Schizosaccharomyces pombe: one gene and its partners. Each later gene encodes a partner of the first gene's protein in a complex. Each region holds a gene or a part of one and is shown in the gene's direction. Other genes may lie near its edges. The genes, in order: mhr1, mrpl12, mrpl40 and mrpl44.

Region 1 (8,320 bases):
AGAAAGGAACCAGTAACAGTGGGTATTGCATATGTGCATACAATTGGAATGTGGAGATGAAATGTAAATAAAATCTGCAAACATGATAAAATGAAACTTCAAGTTATTTTATAATTTAAATCCACTTTGATTTGACTTCCGTCTGATATGTCAAACGAGGCAGAATGAACATTTGCTTTACGAGTTAGGATGAAATCCTTGTTCACGCTCTTTCGCTTCAATGTTTTCAATTCATGCAATATTGTATAATACTCTCCATTTCTTTAATTTAAAAACTGAGAAAATTTTATTGTCCAGTTAGAAGGTCTATTTACAAATGAGTGATGTGTAAACATAGAAAATGAAAGTGTAATCGATTTGGAAAGAGGTCTCTCTCTAAATGTAGCACAGATAATGGATGAACAACACCCACCTAATCGGGTAAGGATTTTAGTTAATAAGAAAAAATTGTATTATTAAAAAAGGATGTTTTGCTTTTCCATGTACGGTATGCTCACCACTAATGTGTTGATGAGTACTGTTTATAGCTGGTCGATTCGCTCAAAATATGTAAAGCATGGCACATCTTTATTTTCCTCATATATTTACGTTGGAATTCATAATTTAAGATTTTTTAGGTTCTCCAAACCGTAATGATACCTATTGAGTTGAAATAAATATCGGCAATGAGTACGTGCAGACTTAAAACTCAGAGCTTCCGTGGAGAACAGGATAATTAATTCTTTAAATCTGAAACAAGAAAATGGTGATGTTGAACAGCGGCACATATTAATTTCTATAAAAATAAACATAATGATTTTTGAATTACAAAGTATTGAATGGTAGTTACAACTGATACCTAAAAAGATATAGTAAACCTACCAAAATCTATTGAGCTCGACCAACAAATAGGAAATAGTATAAAATACAGTTCAACAGAACTAACTCGCTCCAAACCTGTTGTGGAGTTCTACAGTCTCGTTGTAAATTGCCAATAAGGTATGATTTAATGAATTATACAATTGTTTAAATGTACAGTTTGATATCTGCTTCAATTATAAGTAGGATTGCGGTGAGCTCTAATGATGATCTGTTGTATTACTAGATGTATGAATACATAGTAACCTGAGTTATTGATGTCGGTATTGTTTGTAACCTAACGCTGATATAGCTCATGGCTGAACCTCGCTCCTCAATTCAATTTTCAAGTTATAGTATTCAAAATCAGTATTATTGTTACTGGTAAATATCTTATTATAATTGGTAATTTAATATCTTGGATAAACTATTCATGCAAAACTAGTAGAGTAAATAAAACATGTAACATAATAGTAACTCGCGATGCAAAAACATTATAGCGGTCTTTAGTGTAGCCCACTGTCTAATAACTAGTGTTGCATACTTTTCAAAGTATGATAAAACGAAGCAAGGCATCGCTATTATAGCGTATTGGTACGCAGTGCCTAATTAATGCTAACTTGTGCGTAAATTGATATTGACAGCACAATGATTCAATTTCATTCCTTAACAAGAGCCATCTCTTTTTGTTGGATGCTTAGAACGCGTGGATTTTTAGGCTATTCAAGTGTTTGGTTTTGATCTATTTATCTATTTTATATTTTAATTTCGCATTTTATTTTGCAATGTTCAAGTTGGAACTCAAACGTATATAATCACTATTGGTAAAAGGCTCTTCAAAATGCCAGACGAAAAGTTACCTCAATACAATGAAGTTTGGAATGATTTGGAGAAGGGTTGTTTACATTCTTGTCCTTCATATTCAGTCAATAATCATGTAAACAATCCAATTGTCAAACAAAACTCAACATTAACACAACCATCGTTACGAAAAAAAAATACAATGGCTGCACCTGCTAGATTAAGAAAGCGTTCGGAAAATGTGCGACTTACACAAGCTAGATATGCGATATTTCATATCTTCCTTCCTTTCATTCTTACTTTATTGCTTTATCATAATTTTTATAATTATTTCGATCAGGCATTGGCGGATCTTAATTCTGTGGTTAAATATGTTATTGAAACTATAGTGTTAATATTTACATACGTGATGACAGTGATTATTGTTTATTGTAAGTTTTTGAGATGATTTGAATTCATGGCTAACGATTTTCTAGTTTCATTTTCGTTAATTAAATTAGCGTTTGAAGAAGCTTATGTTTATGCACCATCTGTAGCTAAAGCGAATGAAGGTCTAGCTAAACATGTAGCTAAAACGATTGCAGGCCTAGTTAAATATGTAGCTAAAGCAATTCAAGGTTTGGCTCATATTATTTTATCCTTACTGTTGTTTATTCTCGGGCTCGAAGTAATAGAACAAGATGAAGAGACTGGCGACGTTGAAATGTCGTCTATGCGAGGCCAAGCAATTACCACAGAGCCAGCAAGTGACAACACAATGGCTGAGGGAACCGATTGCAACACTTCTAAAGATGTAGAATCGGGCAGCAGCTAAAAGTCATGGCTAGAAAAAAAAATCAAGGGGCTGCCAACCAGCTGCGAGTGTCTTTTTTATTTCATTACTAATTTTCTTACTTTCCTGCAGAAGCTCCTTTTTTCCCCTTTATTTCTATTTCTTGTATTATTACCTTATACGCATTGTCACTTAATCATTTCCGATGACAGTCATCACTCTTTTTCCATACATACATTTTTGTCTCTGTTATAGAGTAAACACGATGTGTTTCTGTGGTGCTAGGAAAAGTCATTTAACTAATGAATCTGGTTGTCAATTATAAATTAATCATCCTCTTTATTGTTTTACCAAATTGATATACAATCCTTAATTATGACTTTGTAAGATTTGCGAATTAAAAAATTGAACAAGTAAGGCATTACTCAAAAGACGCAAAGTAGTGATTTAACCTTAGTTTCTGTTTAATGCATAAAATGAGGATTCCATATATCATTTTCAAGTGTTCGGAGCTTTAAAATACAGTATATACAGGAAATATAAGTTCAAACTTGTTTCTAAAACAAATAAAAATGAAAAATCAATTTGGTGTAGAGCGAAAACCTATTTTAAATAATGCGATTTCCCAATTCCTGGTCAGTAGCAATTTCTTTACAAAAAGAATTAAAAAATTATTCAATTTGTATTATATGAAATCTTTCGTATTCAAAATCTACCAACATTCAGCCCAAGCGAAAAGTAATATTTTTTGCTATGTCCATAGGTAACAATATAATTTATTTCAGAGAACACCCATTGAAATTGCTGCTTATATTAACTGTGTAACATAATATATTAGGTCACAGAGAGATTCATTGCACTTTAAGTATCGTTAAGCAGATACCGAAATACGTGAGCGACACTTTAAATAGATATTAAACTGCGTAGCTGACCAGTATTCAAATTTTCCGTCACTCACCGTATCATTAAAACATTTACTGTTTTTGGCTGCTCAACGCGCAATGCTGCCTAACATCTGTGCTAGCAAACGATATGTGTTTATTGGGCACAACGTTTATACGCGGACGCGCTATTAACAAACTTCGCATCTCTTACAAGCATATATGTAAACAGCCAATCTGTACTCGTAAAAGGAAAGAATGCTTGAAAAGAACAAGTATCTCTATATATTTAGGCATATTCAAACGAATCAGGTACTTTTATCTCAAGGAAATGTTTTAAAAAAGACTGCGTTGTTTCAACTTCCCTACCCACTTCAAAAGCCAGTCGCTCCAAATGGTATGCGACCCGCTAAGCTCCGTAAAGACCATTGGGTTCCTTTACTAAAAGTCGAATTTCCTAATGAATCAATGTTTCAATCTGTTTTTATGCAACTGTTAAACTATCGAAAATATCGTTCTGTTCAACCACTGACTAGTGACCTTTTGAAATTGCCTATACCCGTTCGTAGAAGAAAAATAATGCGACAAGAGGTTCCTAACACGATTGCGGACTTGGCAGATATTTTAAATAAAGAAAAATTTCCCGAAAATTCCGTTCGTTTGCAACTGAGTGATAAATCCGATAGTGAATATGCAGATTGGCCCCCTAGTGTGCAGATTGATTCAGAGGAAATTAAACTCTCGCGAGGTTTCCGTGAAAAAACAACCGTAGACGAAGCTAGATGAAGCATAATATCATTACTTCTCTCACTTTCTTCCTTCAAAAACACCCCTCATCCATTTTTAGGCTTTCTTAAAGGGCATTATATGAAGTATAAGCTAACACATATTCATATTAGCTCAATCTTTTTTACTTAATGATAAAGTCCTTTTTACTAAAGACGGTTACGAATTCTTCCCAGTGTATCCAGTGTATTGCACTGGACAGCTTCCTTAGCTTATCATTGTACTTCAATGCGAGAGTATTGGCTAGATACTCAAGACAAGATAAATTTAATACAAATCGACACCAAATACTCGTATCTTTATTATTTTACCATTTTGAAGTTTTCGAGCTCCTATGAAATATATGCAAGATTAACTCATCACTTTATTGCCTCGTTTTTTTTTTGTTTAAAGTTTGGTCCAGAATAAAAAAAAAATATTAGCATCTAAAATAGAAATCATGGACCAAATATTTAAATAGTTATAACAATGCCAAAAGAAAAGACTTTATAAACCAAAGACATAAATACCATAAATCGTTAAAGAGCGGTAGTTATAGTTAAACTCTTAGAGTGGATTAATGCACAAGGAGGTAATCCTTCCATAAATATTAATAAGTCATCAACATATTCCTCGCTTTTTCGAAAGCTCTTATGAGTGTCGGCCAAAGGTGCTGGTAAAACAGTAAACAATACAGAAGTATTTTTAGTATGTTTCAGCACGATTTCATTCATAATTATGTATTGAGATCTCGAGGATAAATCGTTAAACGTCAACTTCTCTTTAGAATAGTCCCTTCCTATTTTTTTCTTTGGTGCTAGTCTATCAGATGAACTATCTTCTCGGACCACGTTGGGCATCAGAGATGACTCAATAGTACTGTCAGAATAAGTTCTTCTATTTTCTTGTTTTGGTGATAAAGAACGGTTTCCGAAAGAAGATTCAGTCTCAAACGACTTTACTGAATGCATATGTGGCCCAAGGCGGAAACTCAATGGCACACTTAAAGGTGGAGCACTCTTATCAAAGCTGGCAGATCTAAAGTTATAACCAGACATACGACGTGGAAAACGAATAGGTCCTAAGGAATCTACAGTATTTCCTCTTCTTTTCTTTTCTTCCTGCCACCACGAGTCATCTTTCAGTAAGTTTTCAAGCTCGGAAGACTTGCTAGGTCTCACATGCTCATTTTTGACAATGTACCTATATGCATCCAAATTCATTGCAGCAAGACAGAGCACTACAACGTCGGCTTTGATACGGAACGTTTCTAGCATTTGATGCATGCTTTCTCGTTCTGCCTCTATTTCATTCTCGAATTCAACAAGAGTGATAAGCCGTAGCCTACAACCTTGTTTCCAATCTGAAGCTGTATGAAGGATCCAACTAAGTTGAAAAACCATAGTATACGTCTCGAAATTCGTCGCAAACGTTGGTGTACTTTCATTGACTTCTGACCCCACACCTGATATTCTATGAATGGGAAACATATCTATATATTGCTTTTCTCCCTTTCTTTTTGGCCAATTAAGTCTATCGAACCCATTAGTTACCATAACGTCCACCGAACCAACAAGCATGTCTTCCAATATCTGTACCCACTTCACAGGTAGTATATCATGCTCCACAAATTCTTTTTTACTGTCAGATTCTGATTCTTCACTAGTATTCTCAAGAGAGAAAGAAGAACCCGAGTATATACGATGTCTACGATAATTCGTATTAATAAATGTTAGCACAGCTATGTTTGGACGAATTCCCCCCAAGCCTGCAGAAGATATAAGACCACGGATACCCCAAACTTCGTCTGGAGCAATAGTTAGTTCAACAAATGCTTTGATACCTCGATCAAGGACAAACTGATGCCAAAGACGTTGCTGCTTTCTTAAATCATCCATGCTAGCCTGAAAATCATCGGATACAATAACGTGCCCTAAGATATAGAGGGAACCTATAATTTATGGGTTAGTATTGTCAAAAAATGTCGGTATACATGCCTTTCTTTAATGAATTGCAGAAACGGATAACATTTTCTGACCGATTCGGGTTGTTAATCAAAAGTAAAATTTGAGGCCTCCAAAACTTTATATTTTCTCTTGCTTTATTAGTTTGCAGCAAGTATTTTCGAAGTTGATGATAAATGATGCCTTGAGACACATCACCCCAATTTTTAGGAGGACATGTGAAATATATGACTACCACCAAAATTCCTGCAATTAAAAATGAGATAAAGGCATTCAAGCGATCAACGTAAAACATTACGCCAAATGACAAGATGGTACCCACCAGTGTAGTGCGTCTATTGAAATACCGAAAGGTAGGTCGAAAATTTGGGGTACTACTAATTCGTAACAGAAAACACGATAAGTTGATAAAGCCAAAAGTCAGAAGAAAAGTCATTGTAATCATCGAAGAAAGCATATTGATGTCCCAAAATAAACTGATTTGCGTAATTAAGTAAGTCACTCCAATTGCAACATAAGGAATATCATCGTAGCTAGAACCCTTTGCAAAGAAAAACATTCCGGGTATTAAATCATCTCGCGCGATTGCCTGTAATAGCTTTGCAGCTCCAAATATACCCATAAACGAGCTAAAGGCGCCACTAGAAAGAATTCCAGAAATGATGAATAAAGGATGTAAACTAATATGTTCCATAACGTCCATATCAAGTAAAAGTCCCGTACGAGTTACAGAGGCACCAACACATAAAATTACTAGCAAATAAAGCAAAAAGGTCGTTGCTTGAGAAGATATAGTACCTTTAGGGATAGAACGAGAAGGTGCTTTAAGATCACCAGACATGCTTGCGCCAGCCAGTAGACCTGCCGTTGCAGGAAAAAATACGCCAAATGTAGATTTAAAAGATTCATAACCTGTTCCTTTCTCATTTTCTGTGTAAGCAGATGCTAAATTTTTCATCAGCGTAGACCATTTTAATCCCGTAAAATGAACGAGTAAGGAAGGATCTTTGAAAGGATGAACAAATATCGAAGAGATTGGTATCGATATTGTTGAGAGTATTATAACCACAAAAAGGGCGTTTGAGGCCTTAGCAAAAATGGCAGAACCTAAACAACATAAAATACAACACATTGCGAGGACACAAGTTGTATACAAAAAGACCCACCAATATCCTTCGGGTAAAAATTGTGAAATAGTGCCTGATTCTTTTCCAAAAATGCTTATAATGGGCTCAACAAAACCAGAAATATTCATACCAGTATTCAGTATCTGCCCAACATAGAATATCAAACCAATTGAGCCTCCTAATTCGGGGCCAATAGATCTAGAAACCGCATAATATGCACCTCCGCCACGTACCATACCGTTCGTGCAAATTGCAGAGATCGATAGACTTGTAAATATACCTACCGCATAACTAATAAATAACATCAGCAATGTTTTAAGAACACCAGCTTCTCCAATAATCCAAGGAAATCTCAAATAAAGAAGGATGGAGAGTACGTTTAAAGTAGTTGGAATGAAACAACCTTCAAACGTTCCCAATTTCACCGCTTCATTTGGTTGTTCATTCTCAGCAAACGTTACACTTCTAGACAACGGAGGTAATTCATTAAAACTATTACTACGATAACTTTGTTGTGGTTCTTGTAATAAAGGTGTGGAAGACTCTAAATTTTCCTGTGTTTCCCAAAATCGTCTGGATTTTCGTACTGATAATCTATCTGCCAAAAAATCAAATACTTGACTTGATTTAGTTAAAAGTCTTGCCATAATCACAAAAAATTATCCCCATTAAATATAAAATAAGGAAGGCAATAATTTTGTGGTAGGAACTGTCAAGGTTATTAAATACTAAAAAAATTGGAAATGGTAAGGAAGAGTGAGTGTAGTCATGTAATAGAAACAGGGGTCCCATAGATATAGTAAAACCATCAGCAGTGATATAAGAAAAATTTTTTGACAATACTTTGCAACAGATTACTATCAATTCATGAAAGTTCATTACCAGCTTGCTTGAAAACATCGATGCTCGAATACACTTACCTCAGTTAAAAATAGGACTACTGAACACTATGAGTGAAACGTTTTGTAGAAAGGGAGAAATTTTACTCAAATAAATGGCCATAAATCGAAAATCAATGATATCATAAAATGTTTACAATTACAATTGCAATTTGGGGACTAAACGGAAAAAATAAAGAAATATCTAAATATTAGTAATATAAGTAGTGTAAATTAAGGCCAATTACATTTCCACGTATTATAATGCCAATATTCACTTCATCAAAATCACTTC
Region 2 (8,881 bases), on another chromosome or scaffold:
CTCTTACAACTATTTCGTTCAGAATTTTGGTCTATTCTCATTTTCTACCCTTCTTCTTTTCTTTTTTGCATCCTATTTATTCTATTAATTTGAAATGCCTCTAAAAAGTATGTCTTCTTACTTCCTTTGAATTTGTATAGTGTGCTAATTTAATTTACAAAAGATTATACAAAGACTACGTCTAAAAAAGAACCTAAACAATTAGATATTGCTGCTTCTGATCAACAAATTGAGCAGTGGAGTGATCAGATCCACAAATTAGATAAAGCGATTCGTTCTACAATCGATAACTCTCGACTCTTCTATGATGCTTGGAGATGCATGGTTTGTATAGCTCCCTCCGTCACTGCCTCTTGGATTTCTTTGTACAGACAGTTACCTCCTGAAAAACAACCTGCTGCTTCTGTCGGAACATTGGTCGATTGGAACAAGGCCTTGGAACGTCAACGTCGTGAAGTCTTGCTTGCCCTGCAAAATTTCCATGTCATAGTTATTGCTCCTTGCAAGGAGGTCAAAGGCTATGTAAAGAAGGCAGTTGAAATGATTAAAAGAAGAGATAAAAAAGTAAAAGAACTTGAAAAAATTCAAAAAGAATTATTGGTTGTTTACGAATTGCCTGATCCTGAAACCAAAAAAAGTAAAATTAAAGCATTACAAAGCCAGCTTGTCCGTGTCAATGGTGAATTGGATGACCTTCAGAAGCATTTAACTTTGTCCTTCCCAACTCTTATTGCAAAAAGTCGTGTTTTTTTTGGACAACTTATGAAGCATTTTTACTGCTTGCAACTTCAAATGTTTCGAAAAATGCACAACATTGTTCGCCCTTGGGATTGTTTTCAAGACGATATTCCCCAAACGTGGCTCGTTGAGTTTTCCTCAGTTTGCCAGGCTGCTGAAAGCATTTCCTTAATTGCCGTAAACAACAACCGTCCTCCCGTAGAACTTCCAAAATCTGGTGATGTTTTATCAAATAGAGAGTGGGAAGCTGGAAAAATTGATGCCATGAATTCTCTCATCGCTCAGAATTTGCATACTTCAGCGTCTCAGGTAAGCCTTTCGCCTATGGCTAGTACCGCTAGCTCTTCTGTTACAAATTCTCCCGTTGACACACATACTCCTTCAACTCCAATTATGTCGCGTCCTCCATCCATGAAAGCCCTTTCTTCTGGTGTAGAGTCCCAAGATGAATCGGTTGCTAGTAGTAATTTTCAAGTTCCAATTATATCGAATCCGCTTTTTAAATCCCCTGCACCTTATTCACCAACATCCGTTATCTCCAATCATTCCTCCACCGGTAAATCCCTGGTGATTTCTGAATGGGCATACCTTGCCTCAGGAAGTGCGAATGTGGTGTTTGAGTATGTTGGTAAAAATCCTTACTTTCAAGACAAGGTAATTCGTCTTCGACGTCGAGGACAGGTTTTTACTACAGAACAAGTTTATGAATACTATCAAAATGTAATTTATCCTTTGTTTGCTGGAATGGAAAGCTTTTTAATTGAGGTTTTTTTGCAGCCAGTTACTAGGGATTTTTTGCTGGCGGCCCAAAATGCTTCTGGTATTTATTTAAATTTAAATGAGCAATACTGTTTGGTAATGAAAGATCTCAAAGATGGAATTGAAATGAAACCAAAATGGTTGACTCAGTCCCCTGCCGCTCCACCTGACTGGGTTGTTTGTCGAACGTGTGCCCTTAGCCGTATGCGTGGTAGACCCGTTGGTTTTTGTCCTCTACAGCTTGATTTCAACAATTGGCCCAAGTTTTTGTGCTGTCTTCAAGGATTTGTGAGTCCTGATATCGCAATGAGATTGTTTCAGTCTGGTATACTACGGAAGCTTCGTGACCTACAAGAGCAATACTCTCGTACTGATGTTGCGTTAGCGATGACCCTTCGAGATGTGACTTTATACATTGGTAAAGATCACATAACATTACTAGATTTAGATCCTAAAGACATGAATACCAAAATGTCTAAATGGGAACGTGATGAAAGGAATTTGATTGAAGGCGGTTGGTACTATGGTCGTGGGATGAAGTCTACTGACAAAGCATGCCGGAGCAGCATAAAGTAATTATCTCATTGTTAATTTTTTTTCTAATATGTAATACCACCATCAATTTGTGGATTTATTGCAATATTTCAATACATTATGCATTTTTGTTTTATTTGTTATATGCCTGATAATTAACAGGGAGATAAAAGCATAAAAATAAAGGGTTAGATTTATTTGTTCTCTTCAACTAACTGTTGAACACTTAATAATTCTAGAGCATTTTTTACTACGAGGTTAGTTTATTTTCTAATTATTACTAATGAAAAATTAATAAGATCCATTGAACATATTTTAGATATTTGATGAATGATCACCTAAAAGTTGTAGTTACTATACTTAACTTGCCAACCCCCATCTCACTTGCACCTTACTTCACCTCAAGTATAATTTTAAAATACAGCATGTTTCGCATCGCATCACGCCAAACAAGAAATCTGTAAGATTGTAATTATTTTTAATTAACAAATTTATACTAACTTTAAAAGACGTGCTTTATCTTCCAGTAAGAACTGGGCAAGATCGTTGGTAAACACGCGATCATTTCGAGCTGCCGCATCTGTACAAAACAATAATGCCCAAATTGGGGAAATGGTTGACAAAATAAGCTCTCTATCATTGTTAGAGACGTCTGAACTTGTAAAGCAATTAAAGGAGAAGTTAAACATTGCTGAAATAGCTCCGATGGCAGCAGTGGCTCCAGCAGTAGCTTCAGCCGCTCCTTCTGAAGAGAAAGCTCCTGAGGAAAAGAAAGAGGAAAAAACCACCTGGAATTTGAAACTCGAATCGTTTGATGCTGGTTCGAAAGCCAAGGTGATCAAAGAGGTGAAGTCTCTTTTGGGATTATCTCTTGTGGACGCAAAGAAATTCGTTGAAAGTGCTCCAAAGGTTTTGAAAGAAAATATTTTGAAAGAGGATGCTGAAGCTATAAAATCGAAGTTAGAGAAACTTTCTTGTAAAGTAGTCCTCGAATAAACTGGGTTGTTTATAAAAAATTTCATTTCTATGCTTTTCCGCCATTCAAATTCTTTGGGCAACCTTTTTGTTATTGCTTTGACATTGTGACACGATTTACTTTCTTGGATTCCCATAAAAACTAAGCTACGGAGGGAAAATTCATCATCTCTAAAAAAACCAGATATTAGGTAATGTATAAAATACTCCAAAATTATTAGTTAATTATATGTTTTTATTCTATTTGGGTTACACTCTATGTTTTCGCTCTTCGGTTCAGGAAGTTGCATGAAGACATTCATTAAACTTTTCGTATTCATCCTTTAGGGATTCCAAATCGCTTTCAGTAATTCCTTGGGTAGTGTTCCATGCAATTTCCGCTTCTAACTCTGGTTCTGAAATAGCCCAAATGTTTTCACGCATTCTTTTGTGTCGCTCTCTGTCTTCTTCAATCCTCTTAAGAATGTCGTTTTTTGAAATGGCTCCTGAAGTACTGGTATCACCTGACTTGCTCGCTTGTTCATGGGCTTCTACCGTAGCCATAGCATCTTTATATTGATTATCATCGATTACCTTCTTTTCATGCAAAGACTGGAGTACTTTTCTAACCTCTGGAGCGTTAGCAGCTCCAGCAGCTCCTATAGGAGCTACGTTCTGGACTAGCTTACAGATATCTCTACTAATCATATTAAGATATCCACCTGTAAGGCCATTTTTTAAGCACATCTCACAGAGTGTGTCCACAAAGTACATGATATTCACTCTTGTATTGAACGAACCTGACTCTAGTTCCTCCCATATACATGAATATAAGTCTTCTTCCAAGTCTAGATGCTTAATTGCAAATTGCGCGGGTTTAATTTGAGAGAATTGCGATGCATTCAATTTTCCCAAAAGCTGTAGAAATGTCATGCGGCCCTCAAATGGATCCATTTTATTATTGCAAGTATATTGGTAATTGCGAGTGCAACAACGATTTTTGTTATGATGGTTTTTCTTATACTTCGTGAACTTTGAATTCCAAAAACATCAAGAATAATTTTTTAAATAATAATAATGTGTGTTGTCTTAAATTTCAAATATAGAATAAACTTCCTTTGCCAAGTGTTCATCTATTCTTGAAGCTGCAATCTCTGAAATTTGAGACTAAAAAAAGCGTTGGGATACTATTTTGCGAAAGGACGTTGAACCTTTCCAGATTCAAATAAATTAAAATATACTCAGTGCATAAGTAATATTAAGAGGTCTTCAAACTGTTAGCATGTTGCAAAATCTGTTGCTTTAAGTAGCATGTTACTTTATTTCAAACACTATTACTGTACCTTTAAAGAAACTAAAATCTCATTTTATTAAATACTACTTTTTTAGTAATTTCAACAGCGAAATAGTAAATTTTCAAAGATATTTTTATATAGCCCTGATAAAGTTATAACCATTCACCAAACTGTTAGGATCTCTGAGTATAAATAGCGGGAAAGAATAACTACTATACTTTAATAAAAGCACAAAAACCGACCTTACTTATATGGTAAAATGAAACCCATGAATCAGTAAACAATTTTTATTTTTTTATACGCTCTACTAAGTCGTACATACAAAATCAACATTTCCTTTCAATAAAGAACTGCTTTGAAATCTAAAATGGCCAGCGACAAACTTATAAGGTTTGCCTAAAAAGTAAATATAATGGAGAAAAATACTCTCGAAAAGAGAAAAAAAATGCAGGATGTATTGTTCAAGGAGAAAAATATAACAACGGGATAATGATATAATGGAAATACACCCGTCAAGTTGCAAGTAAAAGCGATCCTAAGCAGAATAAGCTTCTACAAACTCAACATAATCAGGACTTAACTCAACACCTGATCCTTGAGCCTCCTTGATAGCATTGCAAGCTTCCTTCAAGTAATTATCCTGACTAGCCTCGTCTTGAACAATTTGAGCCAGATCCATCTTTATATCCGCAAGTTTTAACAAGCGTTCAGGAGATTTATCCAGAGTATAAATAACATTCCAGGTATCGACAGAATTGTTGAGCCAGCTGGAAGCCTTGTTGATTAGGTCATCTACATTACTTTCACTGTTGTCGAGCAAATCCATATAATATTCCGCGAAGGTAGTATAATTATTTAGAACAGCCTCTTGAGCGATTAACTTATAATAGGCAGGAGTGTTGGGATCGACAACAGATTTTAACCACAATGCAGTTATAATTGAACAGACATCAAGGAGAAAAGCTTCAGAGAATTGATCACCGAATTGAAAGAGGTAGGAAGAGAGAATGTATAATGGGCGTAAAGAATCGGGGGTAAGAGCATCAAAATATTCAGTGGAATCCTGAGCAAGAGGACGAAGGTATTGGATGGCCTTCTCAATATATGGGTTTACCAACTGAGTGACCGGGATGTTGGCAAGAGATTCCTCGTTATCGTGACGCCAAACAAGAACACGTACCTTCTCAAGGTAAGCACGAGCAAGAGCAAGGAAAAGTCTCGATTCGTTGCCAGGAGCATCCAAGCCAAGTTGAGCTCTCTCGATTGCAGCATCTATGTAGGATTCTTCGGTATTGGTTTCCTTAAGACGCTTTTGTGCAATTTCGAAAAGCTCGGACACAGCCAAAAGAGCGGAGGAATAGGCCGCGTGAAAGTCCTTGGGTAATGTAGAAATGTCCTCGGTATTCCGTAATATTCTATCAGCCTCGTGAATGGTACCAAAGACAAGGCTCACACTAGCATCTATATCGTCATTTTCCAACTTTTCGCGACTCATCTCGTATAAACCCCAAAGTTGTGAAATATTGTCTTCCTCTGTGTAAACAAGCATTGTCTCATCCTCCATTTCTCCATTGTCGACATTTTCGCTTCCGTTTTCCTTACTAGGAGACGAGTTTCCTGACAGCTCATAAGAGGCTTCTTGCTTTTGTTTTTCAAGCTGCTGCTGCTTCTTTAAAGAAGCAGCAGCGCGTAGACCTTGAGGTCTTCTTCCAATCATAACGAACCGTTAAATTAACCTGTTTTGCTAAGGCAGCGTTGACATCGAGTGATTTTTTCTACCCAAAAATCGCGCGGGAAACTTGTTAGCAAGTTACAACGTAATGTGGTATTGTTGTTGCGTTGTCGGCCATGTGCGTTAAACCTAATAAGAGCATGGCGTAACAAAAACAATACCGTCGTTTTGTGGCTGTGGAAAACGAGTTACCAGAAGCTTGGAGAACTTGACATGTTAAAATGTATTAGTGGAAAGTATAGAGGCTCGTAATACAGTCGTACATATTGACTTGTTTACAAAAATTGATGATTTTAAATTGTGAAGGGGAAGCTTATTTTAAACATCTAATTATGCAGCAAGATACATTAACACGTTTTGGATTTTCATTGTTAAAAAAAAAGAGCAAAATTAAAAAGGAGATGGAAGAAAGTAAAGCTTTATGACTTCAGCGGATCTAGAGCAATTGAAGTAAACATATCTAGCCGAAATTTAACTTAGTAAATTGATTAAGATAGGTTTCTGTAAAGGAGATCTATGATATTCAAAATGCGGCAATATTTCTTAGGGCTTATGGCGCAAAAAGGTGCTATACAAAATTGCCAGCACGAGATAACATTGAAGATTTGGCAGTTTTGTAATGTAACGCTAATCTTTATTAAACAATAATATAATACGAAATCGCAACTTTTATGTGGTTTTGACCGTTTCTTTGGCAGGGAATTTGAATTCGTTTCTTAGTTTTTGAACGATATCTGATCAACGAGTTTGTTTATTTTAATTTTTTTAAACGGCTGCTTTATGGTAATGGACCAAGATTGCTCCAGCACCTTAAAAATACAGCACTAGTATATATATTTCGGTCGCCATATCAATAAATTACTTGATTCAGGTGCCGAAGTAATAAGTACTTAGGATGAATGTACTAGATGAAATTGAAAGTTTGTTAGCCAATTATAAAACAAAATAAAGCCTTTTTTACCATTTGATGACAGAATTTCTAATTTTTTTAATATTACTAAGTTATCTTGAACAATTAGTCATGTCCGAGGCTCGGACATAACAACATGCTAGTTTATAAAAGCACTACATTGTTTCACACAGTAAAAGAATACTCAGATATTCATTTACATTATTAACATCATGACCTTGCCTGAAAAATTACTGAAGATTACTCCCAAAATCCTGGTTATTATGGGAAGCGTTCGCAGCAAACGCTTATGTCCAACTATTGCAACGTGGGTTGGTGAGATGGGAAAAAGAGAGACTAATTTTGACTACGAAAAAGTTGATTTAACTGATTGGCCTCTATCTATGAGCGATGAACCCGGACTTCCAATTATGGGAATAGATGTGTACACTCAGGAACATACTAAGGCCTGGGGGTCCAAAATTGCTGGAGCAGATGGTTTTGTTTTTGTAACTCCGCAATACAATGGTGGATATCCTGCAATCCTTAAAAATGCCTTAGACCACTTGTATCACGAGTGGAATGGAAAACCGCTTTTGATTGTAAGCTATGGTGGCCATGGAGGAGGAGATTGTGCTTCGCAACTAAAACATGTTGCCGGTTTTCTTAAGATGCGAGTCGCGCCTACCATGCCAGCGCTCACGTTACCCAGAGATAAAATTGTTCAAGGTGTAGTCGACCCAGCGGTTGAATTTACAAAGCACCTTGGTGAACTTAAGAAAGCCTTCGGTGAGTTTTCTCAGTTGTTTGAAAGCAATCCTGAAAGGAAACCCTAGATAATTAAAACATAAGAGTATTTTGAAAGCTAGTATAGAGTGCATTTAATAAAGTCTGTTTTTTGTTTTTTTTTAAAAAGCCAATTTTCCAGTAAATCTGTTTGGTTTTAGATTTTATTCACATGGATAGATCTATTACTGTCATATCAACTTACCAATGGACTCTAATACCTTAATCCTTCCTGCTGTTCGTGTTGCCTAATGAAGGATTTTTAGCACGCATGTATTAGTAAACACGGTTCATATTCAGTCATTGTGTAATACGAATTTGTTCAGCAGTAAAAGTTCCCTTTAAAATTATATTTTAATACAATTTCAGTGAAGCTATTCGTGTTTTTCGTTTATAAGAAAAAGGACATAATTACTACTTGAAAAACTGCTTTGTTTTGACTGTTAACATGTCAAGAAAATATGTACACACATGTAGTCGTTATGAATAATATGCATTATAAGCATTATGATATGGTCTCGGGTAGTCAGGCCTCTGAACCTTATACCAGTCTACAATACTATCGGTTTTAGGTATACTTTGAAGGGATTTTAGTTTTCAAGACAACGGCTCAATACACGAGACTATGAAATATCTAAACAAATTAACTAGATTTGACTAGAGAAAATGTAGAATTTACTGCTAATTCTGCCAAATCTTTTGTGGTTCCCTATTTTCTTACATGGTGATACGATCTCTGGTTAGCGCAATCCTTTCTCTTGTCTCCCACATTCCTACTATCTTTACATTATTTCTAAATAGTCATTTCAGCATTAATAATGTACCCAAAAATGAAAAATGACTTGATTCTTAGGGCTGCAAAGGGTATTATACTTTCGCTTTAGCAATTTGTAAGCGCTTACTCACATTATGAAATAATAGGAGAAGAAGTAGAACGTCCTCCTGTTTGGATTATGGTATGTAAAAAAAAAGATGATTATAAATTTGCTAACGTTCTTTTAGAGGCAAGCTGGAAGATATCTTCCTGGTACGTGCACGACTTAAACTTGATCGTTTGCACTAACGAGACCATAGAATATCATAAGCTTCGTGCTAAACAAAGCTTTTTTGAGATGTGTCAAACACCTGAAACGGCGTGTGAGCTAACACTTCAGCCAGTCACCCGCTTTAAAGGTCTGCTTGACGCAGCAATTA
Region 3 (8,318 bases), on another chromosome or scaffold:
AGTGGTATTGGTGCCGCTCTTTGCGCCCTCCAAGCTGTTAAGGAAAAGAAAGGCTTGGCCTAAATCATGTTAGATGTCTGTTAGCTTTTTTTGAATTGTACGTAGAAATGAGCATGTAAATATGAAATTGCTTTTTAACAGCTTTTAGTTAAGATGTTTTTTTTGAAAGTGAATTTATTTCCTGGAATTAGTTAATAGTATGAAGATTGAATATCAGATGAATTAAAAAGCATGTTGTGATTGATGTTATATGTCTCTTTAAAACAAAATTGTGGTTGTGTATTGTTATTAAATTTGTTACGATTTTGTTAACATTCCAAAAAAGAGTACGGAATTTACAAACATTACAGGACATCTCAAAGATGTGTGTGTAAATTGATTCTAACAAAAAGAAATTTGATTTTTTTTAATCTGAGTTTGTAAAAAATAAGATTCATCATACCCTATTATCTCAAATTTATGAATTATTCGGGTTCAAGATAAAATCTTCTTTTTCTTTCAAGAAATCCAATTAACCAAGATTTGTTAAAAAATATTTTTCTCATCGTTTAGTAAATTTTTCTGCAACGTTGAACGGTGAAGTTGTGCTAGCAATACTGCATACTATATAAATAAGAACCGGAAAGCGTTTTCCAACACCCAAAAGGTGTTTTTTATACTTTATTCAAGAGTTAAAAATTAAATAGCACGGTAGTAAAACCAAATTGAACAAATTAAAAATTGAAAGCGTCTCAAGTTTAAAATTTATTTAAAGAGCTTATATCAAAAAAGTAGAAAACTTTCCAAAAGGATTTCTCAAAAGAAAATCCTCCTCATTTTAATAAATCATTGTTTAGATAGATTTGGTTAAATTTTAACCAAAAGGATTATCTATTTGCTAATTTTTTAGATAACTGGAAATTGCCTAATTACACAATCTTTTTTACCTTTTTTTGATGATTGTATGTTTAAAGGGGATGTAGTTCAACTAAAAAATTGCTTATTAAACATGCAAGAGTAAATGATTATTGAATATGTATAGTTGCAACAAGAAGCAAGGTTGCGAGAAATGACAAATGGGTTGACTCAACTTTTTTCTCATTTAAATTTTTGTTTCAGTCATTTTAATAAGGTCCTTGTGAATCGATATCAAAAGAGGAGGTGGAATAATTATAAAGATAACGTTTCTGAATATCATGGTTTTCGAAAAAGAAAGTCTTTGAGGTCATGAAGTTTAGGCTGCTTTCGGTTTTTTTACTCCATACTTGCTTCGGGATGTGACACGTCCCGCTACACCAGCAATGTCATAGACACCCCGAACAACATGATATTGGACTCCTGGACAATCCTGTGCTCTGCCGCCTCTTAACAATACCACAGCATGCTCCTGTGCATTATGACCGATACCTGGAATGTAAGCAGTAACAGAACGGCCGGTTGAAAGGCGTACACGGGCAACCTTTCTTACTGCCGAATTAGGTTTTTTGGGTTTTACTGTAAAGACCCTCGTGCACACACCCCGTCGAAACGGACTTCCCTCTAAAGCAACAGATTGCTTATTTGTTTTTTCAGGACGTTTCTCTTTATTTCTTATCGTTTGATTTAATGTCTTTAACATAACTGAAGAGCTAGAAAACGCTTGAGCCTGAAATGGTGAAATAACTGTTGGCTTCATCAACCTTGAAATTACCGGATATCGAGCATATTGAGCAAAACGGATCATTATTTGGGGAAATTTAATATTTGAGCTGTATAAAATCTCAAAAATCACTATAATAGATGCTTGAGCAAGGAATTCCGAAGTTTGTACCCGAACGTCGCTGGTTTGGTGTTAGTGTATGTATATTGCCTTGGAATAGAATATCTCGCAGCATTCATATTATTCGATGGGATACAAAAATTTATTCTTTTATATTTTGACAAACATTTTTGGGTATAACTAGCGTATTAAATATTTTTTCCTCTAGGAATTGAACTTTAATGGACTAGTCTAAAACAGATGCAGAATGTAGGTATGCTAATCGACAAATTTACAGTACAGTGTTAAGCTGAAAAAATCAACTTAATTCATGACTTCTACTGAAAAACGTACTGGAAGTAGATTGTATTGAGGTTTAAGCTTCGTTTTGCCATGCCATTTTCAGTTGATGATAGTATTTATTACAATAACTTATCCATTCATTAAAACTTTAAACACTGATATGGATTTATCAATGTGTTTGACTACTTACATGAAACTTAGCAGAAAAATTGAGCATCAGGCCTACTCCATATAAAGCTTTGACTTAAAACTTAATATTTTCTACTTGTTAAATGTCTTCGTTTGGTTACATATCTCCATAAATGCATATGCTTTGTTTGGCTTAGCTACTGAAAATTCAGAAACAATTAAATGAACTCCGAATTATAATCTATATTTTTTTTATCAGTGTGTGAAATTGAAGGGGATTTGATGAAACACTTCTTTTTTTGAAATATCGTACTGGTGGCTTTTCCTAGTGTATCACGACTTACTCTCTTAATTAGCTTCATACCACTGAACACGTTTACTACTACCGCATTTTTCTCTACTCAGGTTTTTTAGCTTTTAAAGGAAGGTTTTATGTTAATACTTTTGAAAATTAAATTTTTTTCTATCAACGTGAAAAAATTCAAGGAGTACTTTAGTTTGTGTTGAAAAGTTTTTTGGCAGATGCGTTCTACGTTACAATTAATGGCTAAGGCCTCAAAGGGAAAGCACCAATCTGGTCCTTCTAATCATAGTGAGTCAATCGATTTGGTTAGAAAAGCTCTTTACGGAAATAAAAAAGTCAGGTCTTTGAAAATGAATCCAGACATGTGGGAAAAACACGAAGTTATTAATCGCGCTTGGCGTATACACGAATATCGACAAGAAAAACAAAGAGAGAATCTTCTAAAAAACCAATTCTCTGCAATGAAAATTGCTTGCGAGGAACTGAAGCATACGAGTGAAACATTATATAAAGCCGCAATGAGCGATTCAATTAACAGGAGGTTCCCCGTAGAAACGAGGACTCCTACGGACACACCACCACGGCTTTCTAAATAGGCGAGCGCCTTTTATGAGTATAATTAATATCTTCGGTAGTGCTCGAAAGTGTTATAGACAAGTTCAAGTATATAAAAAAATGTATCACTAATTACGAGCAAGTATAATCTAATTAGGATTTTTAAATAAACCAATAATTGAATTAAAGAATTATGTCTCCTAGTTTCTAGTCTACATGTATCATATTATTCATTCCCAATTTCACCGTAAACGAATGATACAAAATGAAAGGCCATGCTTTCTTTTTTAACCAAAAATTTAGAATTGTTACCAAACCCAAACCCTACCTCGAAAACAATAAAATATGACCCAAACACTGTTTTCTTTTTACAACGTGTCGCAGATGAGACAAAATGTCTTTAAAGCCAGAATTTACGTCTATCTGATTCTTCACCGGCATTGCTCTCGAAGAAAACCTCCCCTTCTTTCCTATCCCATACTCCTTTTTGAACCATACGAAGACGCATGGTAAATCGAGGACCTAATTCTTGTAGCCCAGTTCCAATACCATCTGGCATATTCGATTTTTCACGAAATGCATAACGGTGTCTTCGAAAAAAAAGAAAATCTCTTTGACAATGGATGGTAACAACTTGTCGCCCTTGAATTTGAGGCGTTTGAATAAATAATGATTGAAAGGCTCGAGCAACAGTCATACCAAGTCTCGTTGAGAAATTGTTGATTATCAGTTCTGGAATATGACCAGTGGAGCGGCCATGATTTGAAATTTCCTTTGCTGTTTGGAGATTCGATAAGGTAAAATAGAACGAAGGGCCATTCGGTAAGTGTACAAGGGTTAATGCATTTGTTTTTTTACGATCCTCATTTAATACCAGTAAATCGGTGTAACCACGCTTAGCAGCGGCTTCTGCGATTTCATGAACTTCAATATCTCCGGTTCTTTTTCGAAATTCAGCATTAGGAAAACAATCTAAAAGCTCAGATGCAAAATCATAGCATTTTCTAGAGGCTCGTTTACTCGTGGTTACCAAAAGTTTCGGAACTTTCCTTTCTTCACTAAAGTATGCAGAAAACTCATCATCTTTTAACTCCGCCTGAAGTTCCTCATCGGGTTTATCCTCTATGATAGTTTCATCATAAACTCGTTTCGATTCAATAGTAGCGGGAATATTTTCTGAAAGTCGCAATCTCTTCTTTTCCGGGTCTTTTTCTTCTTCTTTAGCACGTTCTTTTCTTCTTTCAAGCTTGTCCTTATTTTTTTGATGAAGAGCCTTCATATACTGCTGTTGGCGGACAATTTTGTTTTTAATCTTCCCCATTTTAATAAGTTGCGTATAATCTCTCAAAATTTAAAATTTAAGAATGAAATAATTTAAATCCTTACAAAAAATTGCAACTAAAAAAAATTGAGATAAGAATGAGCAACTTAAGTACAAATAAAAGAGAGTTAAAAAAAAGTATACGATGGGTTTGAAGTCTCAAAAACTTATTGCACAATCCAATTCCATGTCGCAAAATACCGAATCTGAAGAACATGCTACGAATTTCGTCAAATTTGCTTAAAAGTATTAACGCAGTATTATATCACACTGCTGTTAAGCAAAATGTATACTTTAGTTACAATTACTGTTTGTAAATAGGTGATATTACAATCCGAAATCGTACACTATAGATATCCTCATCATTAAATTGTTGAACAACTGAAAGCATTGTGGTAAGGGTTCAACATTCTACAAATCACTCACGCTACTTTCATTTTCACATTTGAATGCGTGCTTTGAATGGAACTAGCAGAAATGAAAGGGACGATAGTCTTTTAATTTCATTTCTTTACTTTCTTTTTACTTTCTTCTGAACTGAATTGCTATATTGATAAATTAAATAATGTTCTGGATAACCAGAACGAATCAGAACGTGTCTTTTAATAGCAAAATTTTTCAAAACCAAAAGCCAATGAACAATGTAAGCAAAAAGGAGGAGGAAAACAGATTAGGGAATTCATATAGAGCGTATTTTCAGAAAGGTTATTTGTATACCTTTTTAAGTCCTAGCCTCGCTCATGTCGAGTACTTGAACCATACCTCGGTTTTTGGTCTCATTTCGGACAAGTTCATCTATCAACTTATAATTCCCTGGAATCACGAGAGCTATGCACTCATATTCATCATCAATGTTTTCTTCTTCAATTTCATCAGCTAAAGAGCGTAAACGCTCTCGTAAAGCTTTTCCCTGTTTGACATCCACCACTATTCTGATGCGCATACGCGCACGGACGATAGGAATTTCGTTTTTTTCTTGCAATTTCTTAATAGCTTCCAGAGCTTGGGACTTTGCAGTTTTACTGGTAGAGACAGAAAAGCCACAATCAGATAATGCTTTTTCAATTATAGATGCTGGATAAGGTCGTTTAGAATTAGGATCCATGCACATCGCAGTAACATGGGAGACAATATCGCGATAAGTTGAAGACATTTGATGATGTCTTTCCTTTTCACCTACTTGAAAATCTCCTTTTTGCAAAATTTCTAAAATAATTTTATCTATATCATCTGTACCAAAAGCCTTTTTCAAATCCTGTCGGCTAGCTACATGTCCTTTAGAAACATTGTTAAACACATTGTGGATTTGTAAAACTTCATCCAGATCTGTTTCACTAAACTTGGTTAGCTATGGTTTTGATCAAAAAAAATTGTACGAGTTATTGAGTTGTTGACACCAGTCGACAAGACACGTGAATTCAAAAAGATAGCTTGTTATAATTTTCTGCTGATCTTAAAGAATATTTATCTGTAGCAAAGGCTGACTCTCACTAATTACAGTAGCTTAATTTAATGAAATCATGCATACATTTTGTTTCTCCATTCTGTAACTTTATTTTTATAACAAGCAACTTCAAATCTTTTCCCTCCTTTCTTATATTTTACAACGGACACATTGGTTAGACGAATTTGTCCAACAGGTTGACTAATAACCATTTTGCTCAAGATGGGTACTTTTTTGGATTATTTTTTGTTATTCTCACCTTCTCTAATTATAGTGTTTTAATCCAACGCCTAAATCTGTTAAACAGGTTAACAATCCATACACTATATATCGGTATTTAGATTTATCTGAAAATTAAACAAAAATTTGATATTTGCGAGCCTGAAAGGCAAAAGGATGGTTCCAATCATTTTTCGGATGTTAACATAATCTTGGAAAACCTTATGGTTAAATATTTAATATAAGTGCAAGTTATTTGTCGGGTTTTCTAAACCAGTTTACAAATCACGAATGATATTAGGCTTTTAAAAATTATTACCTAAATTCAGCAAATACTAAAAAAAAAGTAGAAAACAATAGAAGTATCGACTAAGTTTGAGTTATCCGACAAAACTTCAATCTTACATCCTAGTATATTAACACAACCACTTGCGAAGCGTTTCTATACGATTTCGCTTAACATTTTCAATTTTAAACTTATAAACAAATAGATAGAATGACATTGTCTTAACGAGTACACATCATTTTAATGTTGGTTAACGATGTCGAAGCTGTAGAATATTGCGTGCAAAAGCAAAAGCAAATTTTAAATAATGAAACTTAACCACGTATCGCAAAGTTGCCTTTGTGTAACAATGATCCATTTCTTTACTTATTGACGAAGAGAGTACTCAAATAACAACTGCAAACTACCAGCAGGATACACATTACTGTTTCATAGCATTCTTATTTTTTCTCTTATATTTGGCCATATTTATCCTGTCTAGAGGTTTTACTTTCGTTCCAACATTACAGCGTAGTAAATTCCTCTGTACAAGTGATGTACCACCGTTAGTTATTTAAATATTATAAAACTTTTTGAGCAGAATGAGAGACTTGCGTAAATTAATTCCAAGGCTCCGAGGCCCTGGTACTAACGTCTTAAAAATGAAAAAGCCTTTACCGTTGCATATGCGAACCAAAATACGCGAACACCTCAATAAATCTGATCCAACTGTTAAAGACGATAAATCCGCTAAACCCGAGTTACCGTTTGGAAAGCCAGCTGACAGAGTCCCTTTCTGGCATATTTTTAAAGGGGATTATGTATATGTTCATCAAGGACCTCTGAAAGGAAAATGGGGCCGTGTTGTTGAGACAAACAAATACACAAACGGTATTACCATAGAGGGGGTTAATGTGAGATCCGTCAAAGTACCAATTTTTCTTTTGCGAAATAAGCCTGAAGATAACCAAGATCCAGTAATTGATATTGCTCACGAAGTACATTATGCAAATGTGCGTCTTCTTGCGCATGCAAAGACTGACGCCGGGGAACCAGTTCTTATTCCAGTTAAGCTTAAAAAGCATTCCTCAACTAATCTCCGGTCCATTATTCGGCCTAATATTGAAGGAGTACAAATTCATACTATTCATCTTCCTCGTCCCAAGACTGAAGATAAGCCTAAAGATCCCGAAGGTAAACTCGATACTAAGAATCCAGTAGTTAGTAAAGTTACTTGGTCTCCTAGCTTATCGGAGCCTCCTCTTCCTCCGTTTGCAATTGGCGATTTACGAGCCAATTGGTCTCGCCGTTTAGATCGTATATGGGGATATAAAAAGAACAATGATGATTTTACTGAAATTGCTAAAGATCTTGTCCGAGCAGAGACTGCTGCTGAAGATTTAATAAAAAAACCCATCTCTCCTAATACTTACAGTGATTAAAACAAAAACGATGTTTGGTCGTTGCAAGCATTTTTTTATAACATTACATAATGATTCACAATCTCTAGGTTATAAAGCTTAATAAACTTTTGTAAACTCTTCTAAAAAATTTTTCAAGAAACTTAAATATATTTAACTTAGTAGAGTAAGTGATAAGTGATTTCAATGAAAGTGAAGTATTTGAAGTTTACACGTTAACCTAGAAAAACTTTTACTAATCAATGTAGAAAATCTATACAAATCAAGATCTTTAAAGTCCATTAATCTCTTGTGCGAAAATTAACGCTTTGCCAGTTCATCCAATCTGGCTTGTAAATTGTCTTCAGTCTTTAACTCCGGTACCGTACCAATTTGGGTCGCAGCATCTGGCAATCCTTGAGACAAATCGACTCCAATTTCATCCAACACTTTATTGACAAGTTCATCAGCTTCCTCTTCGTCATCTTCTTCTAAAGCATCGTCCATATTTTCATCAATCATTTCTTGTCTCTGTTCCATAATTTCATTTTCACGCTCGAATTGCTGAGTGATACGAGCCATTGCCGGTATATTCATGCTTTTGTTCATCCCTGTCAATAACTTTGTAAAAGTTAGTTCTATATTTTTCGATATTAAGGTG
Region 4 (7,462 bases), 2.3 Mb from region 1:
ACTAGTGAAGAAATAAATTTGGGAAGAGATGGTTTAATGAAGGAATCATACCGTTGCATATTTAGCTGTTTCACAACATCAACAAAAGAGAAAAACAAGTGTAATGGACCTTGTTGTAAAAAAGAAATAATGCGTACCGTGTGAGGCATTAAATCAGAAATTTGGGGATATACAAAAAGAAGAGCAGATATTTCAAATATCAGAACTGAAAGATCTGACTCTATATTTTCCCAGCTGACTAAGTTGGGTATCTGCAAATAGGCTTTAAAGAAAGACGGATAATCAGATACGCGAGAGCCCTTTCTGGTAACCAACGTAGCTTTAAATAAATTTATATATAGTAATGGCTCACCGGTTATTTTAGAAATTATTAACTTTTCTAATTCGTTAAAGGAATCTGAAGTACAATGATGAATTGTAGAAATTAAGACAGGAATTATCACACTTTTAGACCTTGGCAAGGTGTAAATCTCAGATCGTAATAGGATTTCAAAAAAAGCTTTTCCTTTAAAGTGAATACTCGTATCAACGCCCTGTATTATCCTTGAAAAGAGAATGACGACTCCCTCGTGATATTGAGGAGTATAGTGATCGTTTAGATCGAGCAACACATGTCCAGTAAACTCAATTGCATTCTCGTAAGAAACTGTTTTACACAAAAAAGATAAAGCCTCAGCGGTAAAACGAGTAACATGACTCTTCTGCTTTTCCTTACCTAATAGAGGGGATAGAATATCATAAGTATGAATTAAACGGGGTGCAAGAATTTTTCGAAGATATTTAAAAAGATAAGCAGCAGCATGAAAAGACCAGTCAACAACTTCCAACTCGTTATTCTGAACGAGAATGCAGAGTAGTTCTAAGGTTTGATCAATATAACTTGCAAACTCCAGTGCCAGATCACGAGCAAACTGTGTCAATAATTCTAAGATTGGCTGTAAAGACAGTGAATCTCCTTCACGAGCATACTGTACAATAAGATCAAAAATTGTTTTTTGATGATATACTATTTGAGGTAAAGACTGTGAGTATGGAGTGACACTACGAAGAAAGTTTACATAGTGGGTTGAAAGATTCAAGTCCTCCCATTTCCTGAGACATGAAATAAAGTAAGACTCAACCTAAACGATTGTTAGCATACATATAGATGGAGTCAAAGCACTTCAGACTTTAAATCTGTTTTTGCTAATTAATTGTGAACATACGTCTTCATCCTCTAAATCAGCAGCTCTAGGGATTTTATGAGCTACATCAATCTTTAAATTTTCAACTCTCTTGGAAAAAGGCAAAAACTGATTTTAAGTGTTAGCAATTGTACACATTCAATAAAAGTTTTTAGTCAGACAACTGTACATACAACATAGTTTTTGGAATTGCTCTGCGCCGCAGCTTTCATTTCCAAGGAGAATTGTGCGCGTATCACTAGATAATGACAAGTTGGCGCTTTCTACAAAGTTTTGCCTGTAACCTATTCAACAAATGAATATAAATACTGTAATGTACCAAAAGGCAGTATATTTGGTTATCGAAGTATATTTTAGCAGCTGTAAACATTTAACATGTTTTGTTAGAATTCTTTAAACTCAAGCATAAATTGCTAATTTTCTTTTTCTTAAGGTAACAACTACTTTGAATCAATACAGCTTGCTCAAAAAACAGTTTGAAATGGCATTTTCTCTCTGCTGGCTAAAATCATCAGTTATGTTGCTCTTCCATAAATTTCATTTGGTGTTTGACGTTCATATAAAATATCCAGGGAGTTAGGATTTAGGCATTACTTTACATGCTATCCGAATCATGAATTTGTTATACTATCCCAAACAATTGCATTGGTTTATGGCTGCTTGCCTATTGTTGAAATTAGATCAATTGTAAAAATATGAATATTGAGATTCTACATAAAGAGAAATCTTTGGTCCTCGATATACGGCTGCTTGTACGTCGATACAAAAGGACTACTAGAGATGTTTGGTTTTGTCTGTAAAAAGCTCATACCTTTAACAAGAAATTCGGCCCTCTTTAAATCTTTGTTACATTGTTTTTATTTCCTTCTCTTAGATGAAATTTCATGGTTTACTTAAAACACAGCTATGTAATCTAGTAAGTATTCGCACCACTTCGAATACGATAGCTAATATTGAAGATGTTTACAATTTAAGGGAGGAACGTGGTTTAATCGTATGCGTGTTTTACCACCATTCTGGGGCATTTTCTCCGTTGAAGTATTGGTCTTGGCCATATAGTAATGGCGACTCAACAATAGAATGACGAAGATGTTTAGGATCATCCGGGTCATAATCTAACTGTGATTCGCAGGTAGTGCTTGCTCCATTCCATGCCATCATGTCTGCAGTTGTCTGTCCTGGTACAGCTTTTATAGCGAGTCCACGAGATGTCATTTCATTTTGAAATCTCTGGTACCAACCTGGAAGCGAAGGAAGAATCCCATTAAAAACAATTAACTTCGACATAATCCTTCTAATGTCAATTGGAAGAATACGGTACAGAGATAGTAAAACGTTAGGAAGGGCTTGGTCTGCTATGTCCGACCCTCCAGCATCAGAACCCTCAAAGAGAGCCTCAATGCCTGCATTGGCGATCCAAGATGGAACTCTAATTTTTTCAGCGTCATTAAAGCTTGAGCCCCGTTCAGTTTTATTTGTTTGACAAGTTGTTTCAGCTAAGGGTAAGATATCCGAATACCGAAAGTAAGCTTCTTGATCTGTTAATTGATAGAGCTCTTCAGTCGGTTTGCTTGGTACTCTTGATTTTAAAAGAGACTTCATTAATGCTTCCGTTACGGCAAACTCCTCATCTTCCAATAGCTTTTGAGAATTTTTCTTGTTGTTCAGTTTAAAACAGTCAGCCATACGTTCCAAAACCGTACTTAAGCTTCTTTTTGAAGTTTTTGTATAATGCATTAAGATACAAAGGTCTAAAATTACGATGAACTTTGTTTCTTTCATCCCGATATCCACAATTATTGCATCTCTTGTTGATGTGCTTAGGATCGCTGTTAATGGTGCACATATCCACAACGTGATTGGAACGTTTAAAGTGTTGAATAATCCATCACAAAGCTCTTTTTTCTGTTTCCTTGTAACAAAAATGTCCAATACTAATACAACGCGTACTATTTCAGCTAGACAGTTAAATGTGTTCAAGCAGTATCTTTGAATTATAGTTGTCACAATGGATATAGGGACCCAGCTTTGTTTATAAGGAACAAGATCTACTTTCCAAGTTGGCTCTTTATCGCTAGCATTTCCGATGTAAATTCCAAATTCGTCAATTTGCACCACTACGGTGCTAATATCGCAATTTTTTCGCATCAAAATAATTACTCGGAATTCAATTTAGTAGCAGTGATGTTAAAAAAACTCTTGTCGCTATTTGTTTGGTTTGGCAAAAGAAATGTAAGGGTTTGATATTTATTCAATAATTGTACTTTGACAATTTTTAAACAAATTGTTTTACTGAATAAAAAGTGGATGGCTTTTTATTTACAAAGAATACATGTATTACGGAAATGCACTCAAAACATTCGTGTGTTTACAAAACAAGTACGGCTAATCAAACGCATTCCGTACACTTAAATTAACTCAAACTTTATATGTATAAACAAAATAATATGAATTAAATACACATTTACTTATAATGCAACTTACAAAGAATATGATAAGAGAAATACGAATAATTGCTATGTTACGTTAAACATAATTGCTTACAAAAAAAGCTACAATTGCAAATCCACTACAATCAGGCACAAATTACCGCTTGAAAAAAAAACAAAAATAATCATCATCATGCTATTCCAGTTCAAAAGGGGAAAATATATTCATTTACTCCTCAATCTTTTCGGCAGCAGTGTAAAGTTGCTCACGCTTTTCTTCAACAGCCTTGGCTCTGCGTTGACGAGCAGCCTTGGCACGAGCACGACGAGCATCTTGTTGCTCTTGGATCAACTTAGTACGGTTGGCCTCAGCCTTGGCACGTTGAATATGCTCAATTAAAGCACGCTTGTGTTTAAAGGTGTTACCCTTAGCTTCCAAATAAAGAGTGTGATAAAGATGCTTATCAATCTTGCCAGACTCACGATACTTGCGAAGAAGACGACGCAAAACACGTTGACGGCGCATCCAAACAACAGCAGAGGGCATACGAGCTTCGGCAGTACCCTTACGCTTACCGTAACCGGTGTGACGACCAAGACGCTTGGCGGCATGGGTCTTACGAATGCGGAAGCGAGAATGCATCAAGTTAGGCTTGCGAATAACCAAACCGTCCTTAATCAACTTACGGACGTTTTGACGGCTGTTGGCATTGCTGATTTCGCTGATTTCATTAGGATCCATCCAAACTTTGCGTTTGCCGCATTTAAGGACGGATGCAGCAAGTCGCTTCTGCGTTCTAAGATTGGCCATTTTTCTTGCTGTTTTTGGTGGACGGACAATCTTTCTTAAACAGGCGTGGTCAATTCTTTTGTTTTTGGGGCAGTCACGTTTAGGGTAGGGTTGGGTGATAATTCAGTACTCTGCTATGAGGAACAATGACAACGAATAAAGAATAAAAAAAGTATTTAGAAAATTTATTAACATTACCAAATGCTTTGACTGAAGTAAATATGATTATTAAAATTATCCCTTACATTCGTTGAATCAGTTACCGAATATGCACATTGTGTTTCATTATTTTAGAGGATGCAAACTGAAAGGTATAGCAGATACTCGTAATACAGTATATTGAGGCTCATTAACCTTGAAAAGGCACTTAATAATCCAATCTAAGTAATAATAATAATATAAATAAAATTATAAAACTATGGTTAAACTCATCATTTAGAATTCAATCATGTACGATAAAGTGAAACCTTTCTCTAAATATTAAAGAGAAACTTTAATATTCTGCCGTCGGAAAGGGTTATCAAAATAGTATCTTCATACAGTCCTATATCTTGAACCTTACATTCTTTTTCGTAATCAGATACGGGCTTATTGTGGATGTTTGTGCAAGTTAGCATTAGCGGAGATACGATTGATTGATAATTTGTATCATGAAGATCCCAAACACAAATATCGGCACAGTTTTTGGATACAGAAACAATTCTTCCACAAGAAAATAGTTTAGATATCTGAACACCACAAACGTGTCCTAAGAGACGACCTAAAAATTTTATCCGTAATTCGTTGTTAGTTGAATAAAGCCTCTGCAAAATTAAAGAATTGTCCGGATGAGATGTCAAAATATAGGACCCATACATAAAAATAGCAGAAGCAGGTTGCTGAGAGTACTCAATGTCTTTGTTGTCATGCAATGCAAGCCTACTACTTTTGACGCAATATTCGTTGAAAACAAATTCTTGCAAACTAACGGTCCATCCACCAGATAGAACATAATCATTAAAAACTACATGAACAACTTCATATCCTTCTTTTGATTGCTGAAAGTGAATAGCAACCTGTTTTTCAATACTTGAAACATGATATTTACCAAGTACTTTCAATTTGGTTCCAGCTTGATGAGAATGCTGAAGTATATATAAATTGTTGTCGTTTGTCAATCCACAAATGTAATTTTTATGCGATGATAATGCCACAAATTTGGTAGAGAATGTTGCAAGGTTTTCAATATTTCCGAAACCTGTCTCATGCACCGTTACATGTAGCAGGTTACCATCCTTTAAACCAATATAAAGGCTGGCGTTATCCAGACACATTACAGCCGGACCAGATTTGACAGTTTCATCTCTAAAAGAAGAAATAGCCTGGCATTTCAAACTGTTACCAACTGAGCTCCATTTTGATATTTGAACGTCATTACAAAAATAAATATTATTTTGGTGTGTAAGCGTTAGCCCCAAACGATCTTCTCCAACGCTTTTTTCAGAATTAAGCAATTGAGGGAGCATAGACTCTACTTTTTTACAACGTCCGTCCTTCCAGTTAGATTGCCTTCGAAACAATCCTTTCCAATTCCTTCGTTTTTTTTCAATGCGACCATGTCGTCGTAAATGCTTAGTCCCAAATTCTGAGAGATATAAATTATGCCATACCTGTATGAAGGTCGTTAGTACATGGAAATCAGTCTCTCAAAACATGAAAATTCGACTATATCACTAAAAAGTCAAGAAGAACATACCGATGAACGGCGCACAATTGAATTCCAACTACGAGATACACGTTCTAAAGCAGCTAAGTCATGTGCAGACAAATCATTAAGAACGTGAAGGAGGGTTTCATGGCTGAAAATCGACGCAGGGTTTTTAGCCTTCACATCGGTAGTCATGTTGGATAAAATCAAAATTGCAATTGTTCATGAAAAAATATTTCACAAGCGGAAACCGAGGTTCTATATAAAATTGGAATGACAAATTGTATTATAGAGACATACTAGTTTCGTTTGTATCTCCAAGTTGACTTAGTTGTTGTAGGAAGTGAGACTATCAGGGTAACGGTCACCTAGCTTACCAAATGTCATTTCGTTTACAAAACTTACCACCATTTAATGTATTTAAAATATCTACACATAAAGATCTCTTTTAATTACATTCCTTGACGACTTTACTCTCCAGTTAAAATTTTTAATCATGATATTTGGGTACATTAATAAATTGTCAATTTTGAATGTGAACCCGTTTTCCAAAGCTAGTCAATCTGCGAAACTTTTGCTAGCAGTTGCCAGTAAAGAAACCAGCAACTCTCTTTATGGACTTAATCTCATTACCAGTCTTGCATCAAAGGATACCAATTCAAAACCATCTGTTGAAGTTGTATACAGTAAGGCTTTTAAGTAGCTAGATGGTTTAACTGCGACCGTTAGATTTGACTTTTGCTAATAATTATTATTTAGAGGATGGAAAAAAGTTGACTGTTGATCCGACAAAAATGAATATTGGTAGGCTAACTGAATTAATTGACGATTACAGTAAAACGCTTAAATTTAAGGAAATGATGCAAAAATAAGTTTAGAAAAAATGACTTTATTAATATGATTAAATTGATAACAGATAATTAAATTACATAACGACTAAATGACTTTTGTACATCGAAATCCATAACACACTATTAGTATTGTCATCGTTCGTTTGGAAAATCCCCTATTCCCCTTCTTTTATTTTCCAAGGTGTCGGTCGCATGGGTATAATAAAGTCGAACAGCTTCTTTGCCGATATTTTTTATGCTGTAATAATTCCCTAAAGCAATGTTAGTCAAAACACATTCTCGGTGTATAATTCCTGTTTGAATTTTTAGAAATGTGTATATTTAAACTTACCCCTTGGAACAATAAATACTCCATCTTTTTTCATTCGAAAAGTGGTTGCATTTACTGTGACCTCGATCTTTCCCTGTAGTATACAAAAAGACATTATGTTGTGTTTCGAAGGCTTCACTGGTTTTTCTGCTCCTGCTGGCATTTCAACGACGCCAGCAGCAAAAGATGGCTCCTCCTTGAACAAGCTGGC

The links.
Region 2: mhr1 (region 1) and mrpl12 share a complex: the UniProt entries of both Schizosaccharomyces pombe proteins name them as parts of the mitochondrial large ribosomal subunit.
Region 3: mhr1 (region 1) and mrpl40 share a complex: the UniProt entries of both Schizosaccharomyces pombe proteins name them as parts of the mitochondrial large ribosomal subunit.
Region 4: mhr1 (region 1) and mrpl44 share a complex: the UniProt entries of both Schizosaccharomyces pombe proteins name them as parts of the mitochondrial large ribosomal subunit.

The regions. Positions count from the first base shown.
Region 1 is NC_003423.3:1,796,488-1,804,807, reverse strand, and holds mhr1 (mitochondrial 54S ribosomal protein mL67 ), read left to right. Parts: upstream 1-3,517; 5' UTR 3,518-3,549; coding exon 3,550-4,077; 3' UTR 4,078-4,595; downstream 4,596-8,320. Other genes in the region: SPOM_SPBC18H10.18C (uncharacterized protein), read left to right, coding at 1,679-2,069, 2,115-2,452; vacuolar membrane cation-chloride cotransporter Vhc1, read right to left, coding at 4,596-6,007, 6,054-7,794; Cdk11-cyclinL compex kinase subunit Cdk11, read right to left, coding at 8,314-8,320. UniProt on the Schizosaccharomyces pombe protein: Component of the mitochondrial ribosome (mitoribosome), a dedicated translation machinery responsible for the synthesis of mitochondrial genome-encoded proteins, including at least some of the essential transmembrane subunits of the mitochondrial respiratory chain.
Region 2 is NC_003421.2:1,158,054-1,166,934, forward strand, and holds mrpl12 (mitochondrial 54S ribosomal protein bL12m), read left to right. Parts: upstream 1-2,402; 5' UTR 2,403-2,456; coding exon 2,457-2,491; intron 2,492-2,540; coding exon 2,541-3,027; 3' UTR 3,028-3,282; coding exon of another isoform or gene 3,283-3,939; 3' UTR 3,940-4,263; downstream 4,264-8,881. Other genes in the region: ipk1 (inositol 1,3,4,5,6-pentakisphosphate (IP5) kinase), read left to right, coding at 95-107, 164-2,073; Lsk1 complex gamma subunit lsg1, read right to left, coding at 3,283-3,939; protein Nro1, read right to left, coding at 4,816-5,997; SPOM_SPCC4B3.06C (NADPH-dependent FMN reductase), read left to right, coding at 7,135-7,737; putative uroporphyrinogen decarboxylase Hem12, read left to right, coding at 8,506-8,551, 8,609-8,643, 8,690-8,714, 8,762-8,881. UniProt on the Schizosaccharomyces pombe protein: Component of the mitochondrial ribosome (mitoribosome), a dedicated translation machinery responsible for the synthesis of mitochondrial genome-encoded proteins, including at least some of the essential transmembrane subunits of the mitochondrial respiratory chain.
Region 3 is NC_003424.3:2,667,121-2,675,438, forward strand, and holds mrpl40 (mitochondrial 54S ribosomal protein uL24m), read left to right. Parts: upstream 1-6,672; 5' UTR 6,673-6,859; coding exon 6,860-7,699; 3' UTR 7,700-7,818; downstream 7,819-8,318. Other genes in the region: hxk2 (hexokinase 2), read left to right, coding at 1-63; mrps12 (mitochondrial 37S ribosomal protein uS12m), read right to left, coding at 1,214-1,702; mrpl28 (mitochondrial 54S ribosomal protein mL40), read left to right, coding at 2,693-3,049; Brix domain-containing protein Rpf1, read right to left, coding at 3,409-4,329; SBDS family ribosome maturation protein Sdo1, read right to left, coding at 5,051-5,663, 5,858-5,985; ESCRT III complex subunit Did4, read right to left, coding at 7,979-8,278. UniProt on the Schizosaccharomyces pombe protein: Component of the mitochondrial ribosome (mitoribosome), a dedicated translation machinery responsible for the synthesis of mitochondrial genome-encoded proteins, including at least some of the essential transmembrane subunits of the mitochondrial respiratory chain.
Region 4 is NC_003423.3:4,119,297-4,126,758, forward strand, and holds mrpl44 (mitochondrial 54S ribosomal protein mL53), read left to right. Parts: upstream 1-6,586; coding exon 6,587-6,776; intron 6,777-6,849; coding exon 6,850-6,962; downstream 6,963-7,462. Other genes in the region: U3 snoRNP protein Utp20, read right to left, coding at 1-1,121, 1,206-1,292, 1,358-1,396; actin-like protein Arp10, read right to left, coding at 2,190-3,332; rpl1901 (60S ribosomal protein L19), read right to left, coding at 3,843-4,424; F-box protein Pof12, read right to left, coding at 4,877-6,052, 6,139-6,285; cnp3 (centromere protein), read right to left, coding at 7,074-7,192, 7,273-7,462. UniProt on the Schizosaccharomyces pombe protein: Component of the mitochondrial ribosome (mitoribosome), a dedicated translation machinery responsible for the synthesis of mitochondrial genome-encoded proteins, including at least some of the essential transmembrane subunits of the mitochondrial respiratory chain.